Linked DNA regions of Oryctolagus cuniculus. The protein of the gene in region 1 purifies or fractionates together with the protein of each later gene. This does not show direct contact. Links are inferred from orthologs where the notes say so. Each region holds a gene or a part of one and is shown in the gene's direction. Other genes may lie near its edges. The genes, in order: RPL14 and RPLP2.

The links.
Region 2: the proteins of RPL14 (region 1) and RPLP2 fractionate together in Homo sapiens (co-fractionation; 3 studies listed by BioGRID and IntAct, with this or other methods). This does not show direct contact. The link is inferred for Oryctolagus cuniculus from reciprocal best matches to the Homo sapiens genes RPL14 and RPLP2.

The regions. Positions count from the first base shown.
Region 1 is NC_091441.1:107,172,010-107,184,176, reverse strand, and holds RPL14 (large ribosomal subunit protein eL14), read left to right. Parts: upstream 1-5,429; 5' UTR 5,430-5,521; coding exon 5,522-5,524; intron 5,525-5,902; coding exon 5,903-6,004; intron 6,005-6,356; coding exon 6,357-6,451; intron 6,452-8,240; coding exon 8,241-8,340; intron 8,341-8,431; coding exon 8,432-8,485; intron 8,486-8,664; exon of another isoform or gene 8,665-8,665; coding exon 8,666-8,968; 3' UTR 8,969-9,005; downstream 9,006-12,167.
Region 2 is NC_091432.1:328,922-340,219, forward strand, and holds RPLP2 (large ribosomal subunit protein P2), read left to right. Parts: upstream 1-8,507; 5' UTR 8,508-8,733; intron 8,734-8,846; 5' UTR 8,847-8,847; coding exon 8,848-8,970; intron 8,971-9,062; coding exon 9,063-9,111; intron 9,112-9,659; coding exon 9,660-9,758; intron 9,759-9,830; coding exon 9,831-9,907; 3' UTR 9,908-9,941; downstream 9,942-11,298. Other genes in the region: PIDD1 (p53-induced death domain-containing protein 1), read right to left, coding at 282-528, 628-827, 910-1,017, 1,097-1,215, 1,285-1,408, 1,485-1,999, 2,087-2,234, 2,312-2,491 and 6 more. UniProt on the Homo sapiens protein: Plays an important role in the elongation step of protein synthesis.

The DNA.
Region 1 (12,167 bases):
ATAAAATCGGGGTTCTGGTAGGCTTCTGGTTCCCTTCCATATTTTTATTCTCTGAGGCTCCAGACATTTTACCTGCTCAACTGATGATGCCTCTATGTCCAGTGGCTGAAAAAGGTGGCATCTACTCAGCTGAAGCTCAGGGAAATAACGGGGTCCAGCCGGTACAGGTAGACAGTCCTAGCTACGTGGAACCCCCAGTGACCTTCGTCGCTGCTGGGCAACTCCCTCGCTCCCCATCGGGCCTAGTACCAGGGCTGCGCTCCCGCACACGCCCACGACGGGAAGCCGAAGCACCGGCCCGCCCTGCCCCTTGCCACAACAGCAGCGGGTCACGGCTCTCGGGACAGCTCCCACCAAGTACCAGCTAAGCGATCCTAGGTGCGAGACTGTCTTTCAGGCTCCACGTTTGCTACAGGTGCAGACCTCGCCTCGCCCTTCCTCTTTAAGATGCAACGTTAGACAAAGGGGGAGTCCAGAGTCAACTACCGAGAACCGCGGAGCGATGCGGCACGCCATCTCAGCTCCTGGCGTTCAGTTGCCCTTCCTCTCCGTTATTGGAAGAACCGGTTGAGCGGACCGTAGGAGGGCGTGGCTCTGCGCGTGGAGGCCGAACTACAAGGGCGCGCGCCCACGATCCCATCTTTACTCCTGGCGTCGCCCTCAACTTGCCCTTCTTCTGTGATTGGACAAAGAGAGCTTCCGGTAAGCAAGTGGCCGGTCAGCGGAGCCCCGCGCGTTTCGAGTGGTCGTCCGGTGTCCTGTACCTGCTAACGGCTGTGACCTGACACCCTGGGCTCCCGAGGAGCACAGGGCTTCCTTGGGGAGAGTTAAAGGAACTTGGAGTGTGAAGACGGCCTGGGGCTGCCTGGGAAGGGGACTGGAGATGCTTCTCGAGGGTGCACTACGGTTCTCCGGGGAGAAAGAGCACGTTCTAGGACAGGCGGCCCCCTGCATAAAGAAGCCGGAGACTTGGGGCGCAGAGCGGGCGGCCGGGGACAAAGGCAGGAACGCGTTGTGGGGTGAGGCTGTGGAGGGCCTTGGACGCCAAGCCGGGGCGTTTGCGGCTGATACTGTGGCCAGGGGGTAAAAGCGAGCTTTCCGGGGATGGAATCAAATCGTGCAGTTGGGAAAGCTGTTATTATTAATATTAAAATAATTAATAAAGCTAACCTATAATATTTGAATGAATCTCAAAGTTTGTTCAGTGAACCATTTGGGGAGCTTGTTTTGAAACGCAGATTCATGGCACATTTAAAACAGGGACTCGAGGCCGGTTCGAGTGCTGGCTGCTGCTCCTCTTCCGATCCAGCTCTCTGCTGTGGCCTGGGAAGGCAGTAGAAATGGCCCAGGTCCTTGGGCCCCTGCACCCGCGAGGGAGACCCAGAAGAAGCTCCTGCCTCCTGGCTCCAGATCAGCTCAGCTCCGGCCGTAACGGCCATTTGGGGAGTGAATCAGCGGATGGAAGACCTCTCTCTCTCTCTGCCTCTCCTCTCTGTAACTCTGCCTTTCAAATAAATAAATCTTAAAAAAAAAAAAAAAAACCTGCAAAACTCCATTAGAAAAACTTTTAATATTAACAAATGTTTGGAGGGGGAAATGCACCAATCCTAAGGACAAGGTTTTGAATTTTCTCAAGCTAAACACTCCTGGAGAAACACTGCTGCCTGCACCCAGGGTAAACACAGTCATTACTCCTAGCAGCCATTTATTCGTTTTGATGTTTAAGCCCTATGTAAACAAAATCACACAGCATATATTCCTTGTGTCAGCTGACTTTCACTAGTGTTAGGTGTGAAATTCACCCGAGTTCCATGTACGGACTACCAAAGCTCATTCCCTTGTTGTGGGCCTTTGGGTAGTTTCCAATTAAGGGCTATTATTCACTCCTGCCCCACCACCACCACCAACACAGAAAAGCTGGTATGAATATTCTCATTCATGTCTTTGACTTTGTGAATTGCAAGCCAAGATACTGAGGCCTAAGGATTAAGTCATTCACCTTAATCTGAGTCTCAGAGTGGCAGTGTGCTAAGGTCAACAGAAAAGACAGCCCCAGACTGGGGAGGTGGGGTTCTGGGTAGGGGGCAGATGGCCAGGATACTGCCTTCACAGTATTTATAATTGGCACAAAATTACAATAACCTAAGTGGACAGAAAAATAAGTCAAATGATTACAACTGTCATAATAACCCAGAGGGAAATAAAAACAGACAAGGGGAGACTAAGGTACTTTTACGTGGTAGCCAGGTTAAGTCTATCAGAAGAAACCAAGAAAAGAGACGAGTTCTCATGCAGATGGAAGAGCATCCCTTGCAGGGGAGACACCATGTGCAAAGGTCATAGGAGAGACCTAGGCCTATGCAAGGCCAGTGTGGCTGAAATACAACGATGAGGAAGGAGTGTCTAAGTGGATTTGGATATAGGAGCATTTGATGCAAGATCACAGGAAGCTGTTCAGATTTTAAATACTGTTACAACATCTTAAGGAGTGGTGTGAACTGCTTTGCTTCTTTTAAAGATCCCTGACTGCCAAGCAGAGAATAGCGAGAGCCAGGCCTTGGAGGCTGCTGCGGCAGTGCTGGGGAATGAGCCAGCACAAAGCCTAGAGAAAGGCTTGAGATGTATTTGGGAACTGTCAGCACCAAGATCACTTAAGTGATGAAGAGTGGCAGTCACACTGTGCAGTGTGTTATGTGATGCACTAAGGACACAGCATTGCTATCGAAAGTGCAGTCTGACTCTTCACGAGGAGACTGCCAGCAACACTGTAGGGATTCAGCTTGACACAACCGCAGCCTTCTTGGTTTCCATCCTGCCTATTAGGCGATCCTGGGCCGGCGCCGCGGCTCACTAGGCTAATCCTCCTCCTTGCAGCGCCGGCACACTGGGTTCTAGTCCCGGTTGGGGCGCCGGATTCTGTCCCGGTTGCCCCTCTTCCAGGCCAGCTCTCTGCTGTGGCCAGGGAGTGCAGTGGAGGATGGCCCAGGTGCTTGGGCCCTGCACCCCATGGGAGACCAGGAAAAGCACCTGGCTCCTGGCTCCTGCCATCGGATCAGCGCGGTGTTCCGGCCGCAGCACGCCGGCCGCGGCGGCCATTGGAGGGTGAACCAACGGCAAAGGAAGACCTTTCTCTCTGTCTCTCTCTCTCACTGTCCACTCTGTCAAAAAAAAAATAATAATAATTTAAAAAAAAATAATAAAATTAGGCGATCCTGGCATTCATCCCAAACCTTTGGGATAAAGTTGTCGTGGAGTCTGCTAGGCATCTCATGTCAGGCCTGACACCTGGGATGTCCTTTAATTGACATCTAAACTATTAAAATTTCTTGAAAAACTCCAAGATAGTTTGCCTGGCCAGGGGCTTCCTGGGCTTCTGGATGTGGGCAGCCACTTGTCTTGGGTTACCCAAGACTCTGTTCCTGTTGATTTTAAAAATCCCCAACTTGCATTCTGTGTAATCCTGAACTGGTTTGTGTCTTTCTTGAGTCTCATGGATCCTTCTACCTTTGACAGCCAGTTTCCACATACTGGGATTTCTTAAAAAAAAAAAAAATATATATATATATATATATAGAGAGAGAGAGAGAGAGAGAGAGAGAGAGAGAGAGAGAGACAATCTGCCAAACCAATTAGCCTGAAAAAAAAGTGGGGGGGGGGGGTCGGCACTGTGGTGCAGTGGGTTAAAGCCCTTGCCTGAAATGCTGGCATCCCATATGGGCGCCAGTTCTAGTCCCGGCTGCTCCTCTTCTGATCCAGCTCTCTGCTATGGCCTGGGAAAGCAGCACCCGTGTGAGAGACCTGGAGGAAGCTCCTGGCTCCTGGCTTCGGGTCAGCTCAGCTCTGGCCACTGTGGCCATCTGGGGAGTGAACCAGTGGATGGAAGACCTCTCTCTCTCTGTCTCTCTCTCTGTAACTCTTTCAAATAAATAATAAAATAAATCTTTTAAAAAAATTAGCCTGTACTGTTTAGAAGTGTTAAGTATCAAGAAAAACTACGAAAGGCTTAGGAATGATTGCAGACTTAAAAAAAAAAAAAACAGTAGAATGACAGGTGTTTGGCACAATGGTTAAAATGTCACTTGGGACACCCATATCCCAGACTGGAGTGTCTGGGTTTGAATCCTGGCCCTGCTTCTGATTCCAGTTTCCTGTCAATGCGCACTCTGGTGGGCAGCAGGTGATGGCTCAAGTGCTTGGGTCCTTGCTACCTACGTGCGAGACCTTGTTTGTCTCTTTCAAATAAACTTTAAAAATACACTGAAAAGTAATAACAGTAGACACCTGATAACTAGGTGGAACTCATAATCCTTGATCATACTGAGCCAGGGGAAAAAATTTTTTTTTTTAGGTTGTATTTATTTGAAAGGCAGAGAGGGAGAGACAGATCTTCCATCCACTCTTCACTCCCCAAATGCCTGCAACAGCCAAGGCTGGGCCAGGCAGAAGCCAGGAGCCAGGAACTCCATCCTGGTTGTCCCATAAGGGTGGCAGGAGACCAAGTAACCAAGGCCATTTTTTCTAATTTTCTTGAAATGGGACAACTGATAGCATTTGATACCGCAGAACTGATGAGAATTGTATAAACCTTCAGATTTTTAAAAAAGAGATTTATTTATCTATTTGAAAGTCAGAGTTACAGAAGGAGACAGAGATGTTCCTTCCACTTGCTGGTCCATTCCCCAGATGGTCGCAATGGCTGGGGCTGGACCAGGCCGAAGCCGGGACTCAGGAGCTTCATCTGGGTCTCCCCAGGGCACCCTGCCCAGGCACCTGGGCCATCCTCCACTGCTTTCCCAGGTGCATTAGCAGGGAGCTGGACTGGAGTCGAGCGGCAGACAGTGGAAACCGAGATGGCGGCTTAATCTGACACGCCACAGCGCGGAACCCAATCGTCCAGAATTTTATAACTGATAATGTTAAAGAACGCCTTGGTTGTTAGGAAGCACACATTTAAGAGGTTAGAGATAATGGGACATCCCGCCTGAGTTTCCTCTCAAATGGTTTACAATTAGATGATAGGATAAAAGAAACGTAAATAGCATCCAAGGAACCTAGAAGGATTTCTGGGAATCATTAGTCCTATTTAAACTATGTTTCTGTACGTTAAAATACAAGTTAACAAAGATTTCCTAGAGAAGGTGAGAAACCAAAAACCCTAATATTTGCATAGCCAAAAACACCCCGCAGAGGACTGAGTATTAGAAAGAAGGCTGCAAGATGCAGAGTTTTAACGTAAGGCAAAGTTTCTGTGCGGTCCTGTAACCTAACGACCCAGGAATGCAACTCACCTAGGCCAATCACCAAACCTAGCCAGATTACAAGAGACTCGCCTCAGAGAGAAAGCCGGCTCCGCCATGTTTTCCCAGCGAGCCCCGCGCGCGCGCACGCAGCACGCAAGTACGCAAGCACGCACGACCAATCGGCGCCCACGTCTGCGTGTCGGTCGCCGCACGAGTGGGCGGCCTTCTGCGCTTGCGCAGCGGAGGGCGGGCCTTCTTCCTTCTCGCCGAACGCCGCCGACATGGTGAGTCGCGTCGTTCCTGGCTCCCGCTTCGGCGAGCATGCTGCTCGGCGTCCGCCGCGGCGGGGGAGCCCAAGCGCTTAATGGCGGCTGGAGGGTCGTGGGAAGTGCGCGGTGAGGGTCCTCGAGCAGGCTGTGCGCGGGGTGCGGGCCGTGCCGGGAGCGCTGCTAGCGAGCGCGTGGAGGGCCCGACGGGCCGGGCGCGCCCCGGGCCACGCGAGCCCTGCGCCCTGGCGGGGCTGGGCTGGACGGCTGAGGCTGCGGGCTGCTCGCCGCGGCCGCCCGAGCCGGGCGGAGCTTGGGCAGGCTGGCCTTGTTTTTTTTGTTTTTTTTTTTTTGTTTTTTTTTTTTTAATGCCGTTTTTTTCCCCACTCGTTGTAGGTGTTCAGGCGCTTCGTGGAGGTTGGCCGAGTGGCCTACGTCTCCTTCGGGCCTCATGCCGGGAAGCTGGTCGCCATCGTGGATGTCATTGACCAGAACAGGGTGAGTGGCGGTGGGTGGTCGGCGCTGTCGGTCACGGCGGCCGTTTCGGGGGCCTCCGAGGTGGGAGTCCGGTGGGTAGCGACAGTGTTTAATCATTGAGACGAGTAGGGTGGACTTGATTTTGCCATGATTGAGTTCGAGAACGAATCCCAAGCCGCTTCAACTTTGAGGGGCCGAAGCAGTTACTATGTGTGAGTCGAGTTTAGGACAGATAAGAGCCCAGGAGACACTTGCTTCCTGTTGTCAGTAGAAGAAAGGAACAGATTCAGGGGCTGACCACATGGCAGTGGACCAGCTCTCCATTTAGTTCCTGGTACGTTTTGCATTGAGCTCCTTGATCTTTGTGTTCCAGGCTTTGGTTGATGGACCCTGCACCCGGGTGAGGAGACAGGCCATGCCTTTCAAGTGCATGCAGCTGACTGACTTCATTCTCAAGTTTCCACACAGGTAACTGACCGCCAGGCTTCCCCCCTCCCTGGGTCGAGGGTACTTTGCTTAGCATAATTAAGAAAAGATGTCACTGTATTTCCTTTGAAAACACAGCAGGCAATGCGGTTCAGAAGAGGGATGTACGTTCTAGAAGTACACAGGTGGGGTGGGTGTTTGGTAGTGGTTGAGGTGGCATTTGGGATGCCCGCATCGGAATGCCTGGGTTTGAGTCTTGGCTCCACTTCATTGCCAGCCTCCTACTAATGCCCATCCATCATGGAGGATGACTCCAGTAGTTGGGTCCTTGATACCCATATGTCAAAACTGGACTGAACTGTAGGCTCCTAGCTTTGACCTGGCCCAGCCCTAGCTGTCACTGGCAATTGGGGAGTGAGCTCTACCTTTTAAATACTAGGTCTTTTTTTTTTTTTTTTTTTTAAGATTTATTTATTTATTTGAAAGAGTTAGAGATCTTCCATCCGATGTTTCACTCCCCAATTAGCCACAACGGCTGGAGCTGCGCTGATCAGGAGCTTCTTCCCAGGTCTTCCCACGTGGGTGCAGGGGCCCAAGGACTTGGGTCTTCTGCTTGCCCGGGCCATAGCAGAGAGCTGGATCAGAAGTGGAGCAACCCGGTCTTGAACCAGCACCCATATGGGATGCCAGTGCTCCAGGCCAGGGCATTGACCCCCTGTGCCACAGCGCTGGCCCCAAATGAATAGTTATTTAAAAGACGTAGATGGGTATTGTGTTCTTTGGCAGTGTCCTATGGTTCTTTTTGTACTCTGTTGGTGCTGTATGGTTTTATTTACACCTGACAGTCTCTTCTGTCGTCCTCCTTTGTTTACTAACAAAATCCTCCTATAGGAATTCTGATTGCTCTACAGAACATAGTCACTTGATTACTTTCAGCATTAAAACAGAAATACCAACTATCACCTGTTCACATAATTGAATTTTCAGTGTCTTGACAGGTGGTATTTAACCTAAGAATTTCTAGTGTTAGTTTGCGTACAGGGAATTGAAGCGGTGATGAATGGTGTTTTTTCTACATGGAAATGAAAATACTTCCTGTTGTGCCAGTCCTGTTCCGTGGTCCCCCCCCCCCCCCCATGACTGTTGTGGGCCATGTGCTGTTTGGGAAAGTGTTTCACGGATACACGGATAATTTTGCTCAGATAGTCTGTCTGGATTTTGCTACTCACCCCCTCATTCACAAAAAATATATATTGTAGAAACAAAACTGCTTTGTGCTGAGTCCCTCCCTCAGTGCCTAGCATGTGCGCAGTGGGCTTTTGAGTGCTGGTTTTTGAAGATAAAATGGGAGCCAGTGCTGTGGCATTGCATGTAAGACCACCACCTGCAGTGCTGGCATCCCATTTGGGCTCCAGTTTGAGTCCTGGCTGCTCCACTTCCGATCCAGCTCTCTGCTGTGGCCTGGGAAAGCAGTAGAGGATGACCCAAGTACTTGGGCCCCTGCACCCAGATGGGAGACTTGGAAGAAGTTCCTGGCTTCAGATGGGCCCAGCTCTGGCTGTGTCAATCATCTGGAGAATAAACCAGCAGACAGACTCTCTCTGCCTTTCAAATAAATAAATCTTTTAAAAACTAAGATGGACTAGATTGTAGAGATGGTGCTTAAAGTTATAGGCTCTCCTGGCTTAGTGAACACCGTTCAAACAGGTAAGAAGGTAAGATACAGTGTGCTTGGAGGAATGTGTCTATATTGAACAGATAAAGCTGACCAGCTTTCCCTTTATCATGATTTCAAAGCTGACTTTTAATCTATTGTCTTGGATCTGTGTAGTGCCCGCCAGAAATATGTCCGAAAAGCCTGGGAGAAGGCAGACATCAATACAAAATGGGCAGCCACAAGATGGGCCAAGAAAATTGAAGCCAGAGAAAGGGTAACGATTTACGATAACTTGAATCCTGAACTTTTTTGGGGTGTTTTGGCAGGTAGTATATGAGGGATAATACTTTTTTTTTTCTTTCCAGAAAGCTAAGATGACAGATTTTGACCGTTATAAAGTCATGAAAGCAAAGAAAATGGTAAGTATGTTAAGATATCCGTGTTCTCTGATCTCATGAATTATAGCCAGCGCCCATTCCATGTCCTTATGGAACTCGTGGTAAACTGATCAGTTAATGCCCTTTCTAAAGATGAGGATGCATTGGAGTTTTGTGTGTGTGTGTGTACGATAAATGCTTCCCTACATTGACATTCTGCAGAGGAACAGAATAATCAAGAATGAAGTCAAGAAGCTTCAGAGGGCAGCTCTGCTGAAAGCTTCTCCCAAAAAAGCCCCTGTTGCTAAGGGTGCTGTAGCCGCCCCCGCCGCCGCTGCCAAGGTTCCAGCGAAAAAGGCGACCGCTGCGGGCAAGAAGGCTGCAGCCCAGAAGGCTCCGGCTCAGAAGGCTCCGGCCCAGAAAGCCGCGGGCCAGAAGGCAGCGCAGCCTCCTAAAGCTCAGAAGGGCCAGAAGCCTCCAGCCCAGAAAGCACCTGCGCCAAAGGCATCTGGCAAGAAAGCATGAGAGGCTGTTAAGAAAGTAATAAAGGTTCTTTATGATGCGTCTGGATTTTTTTTTATTTATTTGAAAGAGTGACAGGTCTTCCATCTGCTGGTTCACTACCCAGATGGCTGCAATGGCCGGGGCTGTGCCGATCCGGAGCCAGGAGGTTCTTCCTGGTCTCCCATGTGGGTGCAGGGGCCACCTTCTTCTGCTATCCCAGGACAGAGCAGAGAGCTGGGTCGGAAGAGGAGCAGCCAGGACTAGAACTGGTGTCCACATGGGATGCCAGAGCTTCAGGCCAGGACTTTAAGCCACTGCATCAGAGTGCCAGCCCCATGTCTGGATTTAAAGCCTGGTTTTAGGGCTTGGGTAAGGCAACTTGATAGGATTGTGAACATATAGAAAATTGATTCTATATTCAGTTAGTGCAAAGCCATGATAAGGTTACAACTGGTTATTACATTTTTGGGGTGTCATAATTAGAAAAAGTGATGTTTTTCTCCCACTCCTCTAATCTAAAAAACCTGAGAATTTCAAGTTTCAGATTAAGCCCCACTGGTAGGTGTTGCACATTCTCTGAAGGCTAAAATGCTGCTGTCTCTGTTTTTGGGTAAGGGATCCTCAGTAGGTGACATTTTAAGCCTTTTCACGTTCAAGAGTCTAATAAGGGAAAATGAGGGCAAGTGCACAAATTCTGTCATACAGGTAACTTGCCGTTTATTTTCCTCTACCACATTTTAGTGGAGGAGAGTGGGTGGCTTTAAATTACATTTACTGGTCATGATGAGAGCTATGCCAGGTTTCAAGACAAATATGGGATTCAGTTGTATCAGTAGTCCAAGGTAGCCCAGACACTGAACAGGAGAGATTAGGTAGGAGTCATTGGAGATGGGACACTAGAAGAATTCTGATTAAGGTGGCTCAAAGAGGGTTTTTTAAGGGAAGGAAATGTTAAGGTTTTTCAGAAGTTTTGTTTTTGTAGTGACTACAGCATGTTTGGGAGCTGTTGGGAAAAGATCTAATGAAAGGATAGCCCTTGTAGAAGATGGCTTCTACAGGGCGAGTAGAAGAAAGTAGCGACAAAATCTCCATGTTCACTGTCAGGAAACAGGAGTTGGACCATATGCTGACAAAGGGGATAGGAGAATAACAGGTTTGTGATTTTTTTTTTTTTTAAGATTTATTTATTTGAAAGGTAGATAGAACTCTTTTATTTGCTGGTTCATTCCCTAGATGGCCACAACAGCCAGATCTGGGCCAGGCAGGCCCAAGGAGCTTCTGCAGGACTTCCACATGGGTAGCAGGGGCCCAAGCACTTGAGCCATCCTGTGCTTTTTTTCTCAGCCCATTAGCAGGGTGCTGGGTCAGATGCAGAGCAGTCGGTGGGGTGCCAGCATTGCAGGTGGATGCTTTACTTGCTCTTCCTGCCCACTCTTATTTTGGTTTGTAACTCCCTGTAAAGGTAAGGGGAGAGCCAGTGGCTTCGAGGGCAGTTTGGTTAATCCACAGGATCCTCAGGATGAGAAAGACTCAAGGTAGGAGCAGCATTGAAGTGGCACCTAGGAAATCTCAAGAGAGATTGTGCAGGGACACTAGTCCACTTTGTTTATGAAGAACTGCACACTTGTCTAGTTACCCTCATTAGAGTATAACAGGATAGTTACCAGTGCCACAGTCATATCCAGGTTTAGGTCCAGTCATTGAACCAAGGATCATTGTACTGCACATGCATGGGTCTAACACCTACTTTATATTGTGTCAAGGAGGAAGTGAAATGCTTAGGAAATTGGCAGTTTACGTCAACACCTGGTTGGATTTCCCATTTGTTGCTCAGTAATTTTGTTTCAAATCGTGTTGTGCTTGATTGGCTCAGCAGGCAAGATTACAACATTGGGCAAGTTTTTAGGGAGCCAGCCTCTAGGTAGTTGGCATGTCCTCTAATTCATACTTTCCCTCTCAAATACTAGATGAGATTCCATTTTTCCCTTTATTACCTAAATTAAAAGTAACAACTAGCTGATGTTTTTTTCAGACTTAATCAAAAAAATTTACCATAGTAAAATAGTCGAAGTCAAGGGCCCCTTAATTATCCGCTTCCACTGTCAGTACCCAATGTAAAGGAACATGTTAGGATGTTAGGTACCTCTTGCAGATGTTTCACTGTGCATCTCTGTGGGGAGCAACCCGGACTAGACTGAGTTACTGGAATTAAGACTTATTCTATGCATCTGCTCTCCCACAATATGGCGCTGGGAGAGAAGTAAACAGCTTCCACACAGCTGCCTCCAGTTCAACTAATAAACTGTAGGACTTGCTACTGATTGGAGGAGAGCAGCGTACTCGGCGTGTGGGCAGCCGAGTTAGGATTGGCGGAGGAGGACTATAAAGGAGGAGAGAGACGGCATGCACCAGGAACATCTAGCTGAAGGAACACCTGTGCAGCCCCCGAGAAGAGCCGGCCGACGGTGTGCCGCTCCCCTGCGGAAGTGGGGAATGTGGCCAGGGGGAACTGCCCTTCCACGGAGGTGGAAGGGATAATAGCCAACCCGGGAAGAACCAGCAGCAAACCCGGGGAGGGCCGAGCAGATGAAAGAACAGCGCAGGGGCTTAGTGTCGTTCCTCCACGAAGAGGGGGAGCGACAATCTCCATAAAAGGGGTATTCAGAAAGTTCATGGACAATGCAAACCATGAAAAAGCCATGGGCTACAAAACTGGGGGCACCAACATGTAATTCCATTGTCTGAACTTTTTTTAAAGTGCTCTTGTGTATTCACATAAAAATGTTGACATCGTTTGTTTCTAAACAAATATAGGCTGTATATACTCTGCAGTTTGCTTTTTTTCTGTAAATATATTCTGGAGATTGCTAAGTTCCAGTTCTGCAGAGAAGCAGGACCAATAAGCTAGATAAGGAGATCTATAGGTATCGGGTGCTGTGATGATCGGTGCCAGGGAGTCCCATGGTCTGCCGTCTATAAGCTGAACCAGGAAAGTTGCTGTTGCTATGCAGTCCCAAGTCCAAATGTCTGAGACTCAGAGGGGCCCGTGATGTAAATTCCAATCAGAGTTCCAAGGCCCAAGAACCAGGAGCACCCACGTCCAGGAGCAGGAGAAAGTGGACGTACCAGCTCAGGCCAGTTACCTGGCCTTTAAAGTTTTGTCCTGTGCAGACCCTCAACAGATTGGAAGGGGCCATCTGCACTGATGAGGGTGACCTTC
Region 2 (11,298 bases), on another chromosome or scaffold:
GCCAGGGCAGGGACACACAGCTCAGCCACAGGGCAACTTTGTATCCGGTCGGCCACTGCGGGTACTTTGTAGCACAGGCTCCTCCGGCTCCCTGGGGAGATGCACGGCGCACAGAGCCCCTGCCCGGCCGCCACGGCCGCCCTCTCGGCACCCGGCCTCCCCCCTCCGCCCCACAAATGAACGGAGCTCCGGGAGGCAGATGGCACCATCTGTATTTGTTGCACACGCGACCACTGAGAGGCCGGGCGCTGGGGGCTCTGCCCAGCCCAAGCCGGCCAGGCCTAGGCCAGGGCCTGTGAGGCTGGAGGCCCCGGCAGCGGGGGGTCCTCGGGGGCCAGGCCTGTGCGCCGGATGCTGTCCTGGTACTTGCGGTGGCCGAGGTCCAAGACCGCGCGGACTTCTTCGGCCACGTCGCGCCGGTCACTCTGCTCCAGCGCCCTCACCAGCAGCCCCGCGGCCCCCGGCTGCCCGGCCTGGCGCTCGGCCCAGGAGAACAGCATGTGGCGGGTCTGCCCGTCCAGGTCATCCCTGGGAGGGGGCAGAGGCGCTGGCACCGTGCTCCCTGGGCCCCCGGCGGCGGCACCCTCCCTCCCCAGCCTGCGCCGGCCCCACCCCGCCTCCCCTCACCGGAAGTCGTGGCGGATGCGCTGCAGCTCCCCGTAGGGCAGGCCCAGGTGCAGGGCCACCGTGGGCCAGTCGGGCCCCAGGCGCCCGGCCACGCTCAGCAGGTTGGCCTGAGTCAGGAAGCCGTTCTCAGCGTCCCCCAGGTTCAGAGGTGCCAGGGAGAGGCTGGCCCCCTGCCCCCGCCCCTTGGGCGCCCGCAGTCTCTGTGGCAGGGAGAGTGTGCGGTGAGCCCCTAACGCCACTCCACACTCCGTCACCCCGGGCCAGCCCTGCCCCTGCCCTCACCGGCAGCTTGAGGGGCAGAGTGGCCATCCAGAGGGCGTCCGCACCCTTCCTCTGCCGGGCGGCCTCCTTGGGCACCTCCGTGGGCACCGAGCCCCGGTAGAAGGACACCTGGGAGATCAGGCGGGGTTCAGAGCTCCGGCGGGTGTCCGGGCAGCCCGGGCCCTACCGCCGCCCCCGCCCCGCCCACCTGTCCTCGCACGGCCTGAGCCTCCCGGTCCAGGGCGGTGGTCACGTACACCTCCTTCACGTTCTTCAGGTGTGAGTAGAAGACGAAGCAGATCCTGCCCTCCACGCAGTCGGGGCGGTCTGGGGGCCAGGGGGCTCAGCAGGGGGCGCACCCAGGGACCCGCCCCTCCCCGGGGGCACAGAGCCTACCAGCGTCCACCTCGATGCCCCGCTCGAAGGCTGCAAAGAACTTCTCGCCCTCGAACACCTCCACAGTGTCGGAGGGCTCGGGGCCGCGGTATCGCTCCAGCAGCCGCTGCAGGGTGGCGTCCACCTGCGGGCACCGGCGCGCTGCAGCCCGAGGCCTTGCCACGCCCGCCACCTGCTGCCCGCCCCCTCCACCGCCCCACCTTGTTGCGGGGCAGGCACTGCAGCAGGACCTGCTCGGGGTCCCGGCGCCTCTGCAGTGCGATGAGGTTCACGCGGTGCAGCCGCAGCCGCTCCCAGGCCTTGCGGGCCAGGTCCCCCACGCGGGCCTTGGTGGTGTACCAGAGCCAGTACCTGGGGGGCGGGTGAGCTGGGGGCTGGGCAGACGGGGGCGGGGCTGAAGGGGCTGGGGGCGCTGACCAGGAGCAGTGACCAGGGGCTGGGGGGCTGAACAGGAGGAGTGACCAGGGGCTGGGGGGGGCTGACCAGGAGCAGTGACCTGGGGCTGGGGGGCTGACCAGGAGGAGTGACCAGGGGCTGGGCACACAGGGATGGGGCTGAGGGCGGGGGGGGGGCACTGACCAGGAGAAGTGTGTGACCTGGAAGCGTGCATACAGGTGGGTGACCTCCAGCGCCACCGCAGCCGTGATGTCATCCCACGTGGCCTCAGGAGGAGCCCGGTGCAGCAGGTGCAGGCGGGAACGGTCCAGGTCGAGGCCTGGACAGGACGGGACAGCAGGCTGAGGCCCCGCTGCAGGGCTGCCCTGCAGGCCACCGGCCCAGGGGCCACACAGCCGCCTCTCACCTGTGAGGCCAGGGGGCAAGGGCAGCTGCACGGTGACCGGCCGCAGGAAGGACGTGGGGCCGCTCTGCGAGAGGCGCAGTAGGGGGCTCACGGCGGCCCCAGGCTCCCCAAGCAGGGCTCGCAGCTCCCGGCCGGCCATGCGCAGCACCTGGGGCAGACAGGCCGCCTGAGTGTCCACCGTGCGCGGAGGCGCCCCAGCCGCCCATGGCCCTATGCTGGCCGTACCTGCATGGACACGTGACGAGGCTCCTGGGTGGCCCCTGGGGGGAAGGTGACCTTGACCCCAGGGTGGCCAGAGGAGCACAGCAGGGTCCCCTCTGGCGGCACCAGGCAGGCATCGGACACAGGGCGCAGAACCACGAGGAACCACGAGAAGTGGGGCACCTGGCAGCGGGCCCAGAGCCGCTGGGACAGGGGAGGGGTCAGAGGAGAGGCTGAGTCAGGCCGGGGGTCCAGGCAAACAGCGGGCAGGGGTGGACAGCACCAGGCCAGGCCTGGGCAGCTCTCACTTTGGGTGCCTCTTCCTCCAGGAAGGTCTCCAGGTCGCTCCAGCTGCCGTCACTCCGGGTCCTGACCACCACCTCACGGCAAAGCTGGGTCCGTGGGGGGACAACAAGCAGCCACAGGCTCACATCCTGCCAGGCAGGGGGCCGTGTGAGGGCCAGAGCCGGGCCTGGGGGCTCCACGCCCACCCCCCACCTGCCTTGGCCGTGCCTGCCGGAAGGTCAGCCCGTGGGGCCACAGCTCCAGGACACTGCTGAGCAGGGAGTCGTGAGGGCCCAGCGAGACGAGGCCCGGCTGCGGCAGCCATAGCTGGTAGTGGATGGTGACGGGGGCGGTGGTGGCCCCGGCCGGGAACAGCAGGCGGACACCATGGGCCAGGGTCACGGAGCAGCCCCACGGGGTGACGGGAAAGCTGAGGGTGGAGGAGCGTCGGTCACACACACAGGGCCCCCGTGGACGCCAGAACCCCCAGGGCACGTCCTGGCCGCTCTTCCAGCCCTGCCCGGTACCTGCCCGCGTCCGAGGTCAGGCGCAGCCGAGGCATCTCCGGATCCATGGGGGTCCCTGCGGGAGGGGCGGACAGATCCTGGGGGGTGCCACCGCCCGCGTCTCCCCTGTGGTGCCCCTCCCTGGCAACAGGCCTACCTGGGGGACTCGGGGAGGCTGCTGGGGCCTCGCCCAGGGGGTTCCCCTGCAGGCGCACGAAGGGTGCGTCCAGGAGCTCAGGGGGCACGGCCCGGAGCTGGTTGTCCCTCAGGTCCAGCTGGGCGAGCAGCGGGAGGCCGGCCAGGTCAGCGGGCACGGAGGTGAGGCGGTTGCTGTGCAGGACCAGGAGCCGCAGGCACCGGAGGCGGGCTGCAGGCAGGCGGGGCCGGCTTAGCGCCGGGAGGGGGGGCCTGCGGGGGCCACCCTCGCGGACACCGCCCCTTGGCAGACTCAGTGGGCCTCATGGAGGCCTTGAAGGCTGGGCTGAGGGCAGGCTGCGGGTGCAGGGGCCCCTACAGAAGCGGAGAGGGGCCAGAGCCCATGTGAGGCTGCAGGGTGCTGCCCCAGGAGCCCAGGGCCTCCGCTGCCACTCACCGAGGGAGGCCGGGACGCTCTGCAGCGCGTTCGAGGCCAGGTTGAGCTCAGAGAGGCGGCTTAGGCCCCCGATGGCGGCGGGCAGGGAGTCCAGCAGGTTCTCAGACAGGTCGAGGCGCTGCAGGGTGGACAGCGCCCCCAGCGTCGCGGGCAGCGCCCGGAGCCGGTTGTGCGTCACAGTGAGGAAGGTGAGGGCAGGGAGGGCTCCCAGGGCCTCGGGCAGCTCCGAGAGGCGGTTATGGGACAGGAGGAGAGCGTCCAGGCTGCGCATGTGTGGGACGCAGGCCGGCAGCGTCCGCAGGCTGTTGAAGCTCAGGTCCAGGTGGGCCAGGCGGCCCAGGCCACTCAGGCTGGCTGGCAGCGTGGTCAGGGTGCCCGGGAGGCAGGCACCCAGCATGTCCCGGCGTTGGCCTCCTGGGACGGGGAGGGGCAGACGTGACCTTCAGAGCCAGGGCCCTGGCTGCCAGCTCGGCCCTGCTGGCCCCCGCACCTGGCGCTGCATGGGGACAGGCAGACGCGGGCTCGGTGCTGCAGGCGGAGGGCGCAGGGATGGAGCCATGGCTCAGCCCCAGGCAGCGCCGCCCACGTCCTTCCCCAGGAGCGGCGTCCACACTGGATCTGCTCAGGGGGAGCCAGGCTCCACAGAGCGCAGGGGACGGCGGACCAGGGCAGCTGATGGGTGGGGGCGGGCCTGAGGCAGGGCAGCAGGGAGGGGTGGGGAGAGGGTCAGACGCCGCGGCCGGGCTCACCTTTGAGGACCAGGGAGCGGAGGCGGGGCAGGCGTGCAGGCACCCGGGCCAGGGCGGCCTCCAGCAGCCCGGGGTCTTCGTGGGTGCTCAGCCGCAGGAACTCCACCTGCAGCAGCTGCGTCGGCTGCTGGGCGCACAGGTGCAGCAGTCGCTGGCAGCCCGCGGGGTACAGGTCCAAGTTCAGCTGCTTCCCGGCCAGGAGAGGAGCCGCCCCGGGCCCGGCACCCACCGCCGCCGCTGCTGCAGCATCTCCCGTGGCAGCTGCCTCGGGCTCCAGCCCCTCCGCCACTGTGGCCATCGTCACCCCCCGGCCGTCCCTGGGGGCCAGGCATGTCCCAGCTCGCAGAGCAGGCCTGCTCAGGCAGGCCCTGGGAAGCTGCGAGGCAGGGAGAGGAGTGAGTGTGATGGGGGCTGGGTCTCTCCCCCTCCCCCTCAGCCTGGGCTCTGCAGGGTCACTGTTGGGGGCTGTGGTCCAGCGTCTGAGGGGCACCGAGCGTGGACAGCGCTGCCTGGGGTGGGGAGCCCAGTCTGCCCCAGTCCTGGGGTTAAGAGCCCACCTTCGACCCTCTCGCGCATCGGCTTGGACCGCGGTGCCTAGGACCCGCACCTACCGCGCGGCTCAGCCCCGAGAGCCCACGCTCCGCCGCCCCCGCCGCCAGGGAAGGAGCGCGGTCCCTCGCGTCGGGGGCAGCTGCACACCCCGGCCGGGTCGCGGCGCCGCGCACCCGGGTCCAGGCGCCCGCCCGGCTTCCCGCTTCCCGCTTCCCGCCCGCGCGTTTCCGGGCGGGCAGGCGGGGACTCTGGGCCCCGCCCCTCCAAACACGCCCCCCGCCCACCGCACGCGGGGCTGTTGTCACCCAGCAGAACAGGTGCCAGGTGCTCCCAGCCAGGCCTGTGCGCCCTCCCCGCGCCGCCCCTCCCCTGCTCGTCCCTGCCCGCCGCGAGGTGGACCCGCGGCTCCCGCCAGGCCTCCCTCCTAGTGCCCGCCTAGTGGCCGTTTGAAGGGGGGATCCTTCATAGGCCCAATCAGGGGGGTACTTCTGAGCCTCATGGAGTGTATTTGGGGTGGGCACTCGGTGTACCCTTGGGAGCCTACAGCCGAGAGGTTAGGGTCCTGGCTCTGTGCACCTGGGGGGCTGCAGAGATGCCTGAAGCACTCGGCCCCTGCCCCCCACGGGGGGGGGCCCACTGAGCTCCAGGCTCCTAGTTTGGCTTGGCCCAGCCCTGGCTGTTTAGGAGTTTGCGGAGTGAACCTGTCTCTGGAACATCTCAGTCTCTTTCAAATAAAATGAAAACAGAAATTTAAAAATAAAACCACCACTCTGGGAAAAAAAAAAAGAGAGAGAGAGAGAGAAAAGGAGTGAATGTGATAGGTGCTAAGGAAGGAACCTTGGACACGTTCCCCTGGAAGAGGGACCCCACCCACAGGAAGCCCCCACAGACACCACAGCCCCAGCTCTGTTCCCCGGCCCAGCTGCACCCCAGGGAGACAGCGGGTGTCCCCGCCCCCAGGAGACCTGGATGGAGCTGCAGGCTCCTGGCTTTGGCCTGGCCCTGCCCTGGCTGTTCTGAGCTGGGGACTGACCCAGTTCATGGATCTCTTTCTGCCTTTTATTTTTAAAAAAATATTTATTTATTTGAAATTCAGAGTTACACAGAGAGAGGAGAAAGAGAGAAGGAGAGGAGAGAGAGGGGGAGAGAGAGAGAGAGAGAGAGAGAGAGAGAGAGAGAGAGAGAGAGGTCTTCCATCTGCTGGTTCACTCCCCAGATGGCTGCAACGGCTGGAGCTGCGCCGATCCGAAGTCAGGAGCTTCTCCCGGGTCTCCCATGCGCGTGCAGGGGCCCAAGGACCTGGGCCATCTTCCACTGCTTTCCCAGGCCACAGCAGAGAGCTGGATTGGAAGTGGAGCAGCCGGGACTGGAACTGGCGCCCGTATGGGCCACCTATTTTTTTTTTTTCTTTTACAGGCAGAGTGGACAGTGAGAGAGAGAGAGACAGAGAGAAAGGTCTTCCTTTTGCCATCGGTTCACCCTCCAATGGCCGCCGCGGCCGGTGCACTGCGGCCCGTGCACCGCGCTGATCCGAAGGCAGGAGCCAGGTACTTCTCCTGGTCTCCCATGGGGTGCAAGGCCCAAGCACTTGGGCCATCCTCCACTGCACTCCCTGGCCACAGCAGAGAGCTGGCCTGGAAGAGGAGCAACCGGGACAGAATCCGGCGCCCCGACCAGGACTAGAACCCGGTGTGCAAGGTGGAGGATTTGCCTATTGAGCTGCGGCGCCGGCCCCACCTATTTTTGAGGTGGCAGCCTCACTGCTCTGCCACAGCGCCCGCCCCTCTGTCTGCCTTTCAAATCTATTAAATAGACGAGCAGGGCAGGCACCCTGTGGCAGCAGGAGCGCCCTCCAGGAGGCCTGGTTGGGTCCTGGCTGCTCCACCTCCCATGCAGCCCCCCCCCCGGGTGCTCCGGGCGCCCCGCACAGGGGAGACTCAGAGTTCCTGGATCCCGGCTGCAGCCCGGCCTCCCCGTGGCAGCCATGTGGGGAATGGACCAGCGGGTGGAAGACCTGGCTGTCTCCCTTCGCTCTGCTTTCCACATAAATACGTATTTAAAACGACACACAGAGACCCAGGGGGCTGGCGCGGTGCAACAACCCTGGCACCCCATGCGCACTGGTTCCTGGCTGCTCCACTTCCGATCCAGCTCTGCTGACGCCCTGGGAGAGCACCTGGGCCCCCGCACCCACGTGGGAGACCCGGATGGAACTCCAGGCCCCTGGCTTCAGCCTGGCCCAGCCCCAGCAGTTGTGGCCATTTGAGGAGTGAACCAGCAGATGAAAGACGTCTGTCTCCCTCGCTCTGTAGCTCTGCTGTGAGTGTATGGGGGTCGCTAAGGCTGGGGGTGCAGCCCAGGGACCAGGCGGGGCTGTGAGGCCACAGCAGTGACGCGGCCTCCGCGAACTGCACGGTTCAGAAAGGTGGCGATCACCAAAAACCCAGCAACGCACCCATCTCTGCGTGAAGCATCGGACAGCTGCTTCTGGGGCTGCACCGGAGTCCGCCCTCGCCAGGACTTGGCCTCCCACTTCCCGAGTGCCCAGGGTCCTCCTGCGTTAGAGGGGCGGCCTGCGGCCCAAGCTCACACACGGCTCCTGACGCCCTGCGCGGGGGCTCGGGGGGGGGGCGCCCTCACACCGGGCCTGACCCCACGCGCGGGGGCTCGGGGCGCGCTCACACACCGGGCCTGACCCCACGCGCGGGGGCTCGGGGTGCGCTCACACACCGGGTTCTGATCTCACGCTTGGGGGCTCGGGGGTGGGGCGCGCTCACACACGGCTCCTGACCCCACGCGCGGGGACTCGGGGTGCGCTCACAATCGGGCCTGACCCCACGCGCGGGGGCTCGGGGGGGGGCGCGCTCACACACCGGGCCTGACCCCACGCGCGGGGGCTCGGGGGGGGGCGCGCTCACACACGGCTCCTGACCCCACGCTTGGGGGCTCGGGGTGCGCTCACACACTGGGTCCTGACCCACGCGCGGGGACTTGCGCTCCGGTTGGAGCCCATCAGGACGCGCGCCGGGCTGGCTCCCTGTCCCCTCTCAGCTCAGGGACGCTTCCCCAGGCCGCACAAGACCCGTCTTTCTCTACTACCCCAGCAAGGGTGGGGCCCCCATGACCCGGGTCGCGGGCCCGAGCGGGTGACTGAGCCACGCGTGCCGGGACGGACGCGCGGCCAGCGCGGGCGAGAACACGGACGCCATCGGCCGGTCACGCAGACCTCGTGTCGCGCGCGGGGCCCAGGCGAGGCGGCTGGGCGCGCAGGCTCGCCGCGCCCACGTGCGGCCGCTCCAGGCCGGCAGGGGCCGCGACTTCCGGTAGCGGTGCATCATGGGACTCGTGGTTCGCGGCACGAGATGCGCACGCGCGTGGCGGCCGCGCTGCATGCTGGGCTCTGTAGGCGCCGCGTGGCATGCTGGGAGCGCGAGGCGCGGAAGGCAGACGAAGTCCCGGTCAGCCTTCTTCGCCCGCCGCCCTGCCCATATCCAGGGACCTTCGGCCCTACGGTATCCGGGAAGCCAGTCCGGGAACAATCTTTCGCTTTTGCCACGGCGACCGCCTGGGTAGGCAGCGAACGATGGCGCCTCTCCTGCCGTCATTGGCTGCGCGCCGCGGACGTCATCCGGAGGCGCCTCGCATTCCGGCGCAGAGGCTTCTGGGTAGCGGTTTACCCCCGCCCACTGCGCCGGCGCCTTCCTTTCCGCCCCGGACGCCGCCGAGGTCGCACGCGTGAGGCCCGTCCGCCGCCGCCGCCGCGTGAGTGGAGCGCCGGGCCTCGGGAGCGGGCGCGGGGTCGGCGGGGGTGCGGGGCTGGGGCCTCCCCGGGCTGCGCGCGGGGGTCGCCGCGGTAACGCCGCCGCCGCCCGCAGCATGCGCTACGTGGCCTCCTACCTGCTGGCCGCCCTCGGGGGCAACTCCTCGCCCAGCGCCAAAGACATCAAGAAGATCCTGGACAGCGTGGGCATCGAGGCGGATGACGACCGGCTGAACAAGGTGGGGGCGCGGGAGGGCTGGGCCGGTCACGCCGCCGCCGAGCGTGCGGGCCCCCGCGCCCGTGCTGAGCGCCCCGCGCGTGTCCCCGCCAGGTCATCAGCGAGCTGAACGGGAAGAACATCGAGGACGTGATCGCGCAGGGTGAGCGGGGGGCGCGGGCTGCGGGCGGGGGTCCATCCTAATCCCTGCCGGCCGGCTCGTGGCCCGCCAGGGTTCGCTTGTGGACCAGAGCAGGGCGGAGCGGCGCGGGCGCCGGCGTCGGGGTCGGCGTCGGGGCGGTCCCGGGCGGGCGCTCCTACAGCTCCGCTCCCGCGCGGTGCGGGCAGTCCCGTTGGGGGCGCTCCTACGGCCTCGCTCCCGTGCGCGGTGCGGGCAGTCCCGTTGGGGGCGCTCCTACGGCCCCGCTCCCGTGCGCGGGGCGGGCAGTCCCGTTGGGGGCGCTCCTACGGCCCCGCTCCCGCGCGCGGTGCGGGCAGTCCCGTTGGGGGCGCTCCTACGGCCCCGCTCGCGCGCGGTGCGGGCAGTCCCGTTGGGGGCGCTCCTACGGCTCTGCTGCGCGTGGCGCGCGGTGCTGAGACTTGGTAATTTAAAAGCCGAGTTTGCAGACGGGGTCTTGGGGCCGCGGGATCCCCCCCCAAGGGCTGTGCCGGCGAGGGCCCTCCAGGCATCGCTCCCCCCGCCTCCCCCAGGTATCGGCAAGCTGGCCAGTGTGCCCGCCGGCACGGCTGTGGCCGTCTCTGCCGCCCCGGGCTCCGCGGCCCCTGCTGCCGGCTCGGCGCCCGCCGCAGGTGAGTGGGCGGGGAGCCGGGGCGTGGGCTGGGGTCTCCGCGGGCGGCCGCTCACTGCCTCTGTCCCTGCAGCCGAGGAGAAGAAGGAGGAGAAGAAGGAGGAGTCCGAGGAGTCGGACGACGACATGGGATTCGGCCTGTTCGACTAGCCCCCCCCCCCCCCAATAAAGCCTTTGTACCGGAGCCTCTGAGTCTCTCTGTGCGGGGAGGGCTGCGGGGCGCCCCCTGAGGGCCGCGGACCCGAGATTTCTCTGCTGTTTTCTGCTACGCTGTGCGTGAAAGGCTGAGGGGGGCGGAGCCTCCACCGCCGGTCACTCCCCGGACGGCCGTGAGGACGAGCTGGGCCAGCCCACGGCCAGCGCCCCGAGCTGCGTCCACGTCTCCCAGGGGTGCGGGGGCCCAGGAGGCCTTTGACGCGTTAGCAGGGCGCCGTGGAGCAGCTGCCCGTGGGGGCCGTGCCTCTGACCGGCTGTGCGCAGCGGAGGAGTCGCTGCGCCCGGGCTCGGCTGGGTGGGGGCGCCCTGACTGCAGGGGCTCGGGTTCCAGCGCAGCCCCTCCGGAAAGCCCCTTAGTGGAGTAGGCTGGGGGGCCAGGGGCTGTGGGGGCAGCGGTGACCCGAGCCTCCAGGGAGCGCGGCGCCCAGCCCAGGCCAGGATTCCAGGAATCACCCGCCCTGACCCTGGCTCCCAGCCTGCTGGAGGAGGGGTCTGTCCCCAGAGTGGCCCTGGTGCTGTGGAAACCGGGTAAGAGGTGTCGGGCCCGGCTGCCGCGGAGGGCCGAGGCCGGCCTCCCGGCCTCCTGGCAACAGATCTTGGGGAGGAGGTCCAGTGCCTTGTGAGCCCCCTGGACCTTCCAGGGTGGCCCTGGGGCGCTGGCCCCTCCCTCTGAGGGTCTCCTGGCAGTCCCTGGCCACACCCTCCCACCTCCTCAGTCGGGCTGTGTCCCCCTCCAGGACCCCGCTCTCAACCCTGCACCCCTTTCCTGCTCACCCTGGGCAGTCACCGCCCAGCCCTCCCGCACCTGTGACCCGGCTTGTTTCTCAGGCCCAGAGCGCTTGGCGGCTCTGGCCCCACGCCAGGGGCACGATCCCTTAAGTACATCCCCGTCGAGTTCCCAGAGGGGCAGGTGGGCACGACCTGCCGCCGCCCCAGCCTGGACGGGCCCCTACACCGATCTTGGGCCCCGGCCAGCCCAGCCGGCCACGATCACGGAGAAAAAATGCGGAAAGGGGCGGGAGGCACAGCGCCCGGAAGCGCTCCGCCCCCGGACCCACCGCGGGCGGGGCAGGGGCGGGCGCCAGTCACCCCCAGGTGGACCAGGCGGCCGGAGGAGCCTCAGTCGGACCCCGGCACTGACCAAGGTGGGCGCGTGGGCCCGGGAGGAGTGCGCGGCTCGTGGCGGACGTGCGGGTCCTCCGACCCGAGGCCGGCTCGGCGCGGCTCTGAGTTGGGCAGCGGGGCCGCGCTCCTCGGCTTCCGGGGCGGTGTCGGGGCGGACCCGGAGGAGGAGGCTGCTCCGCGCGGCGCCCGGCTCCGCACCA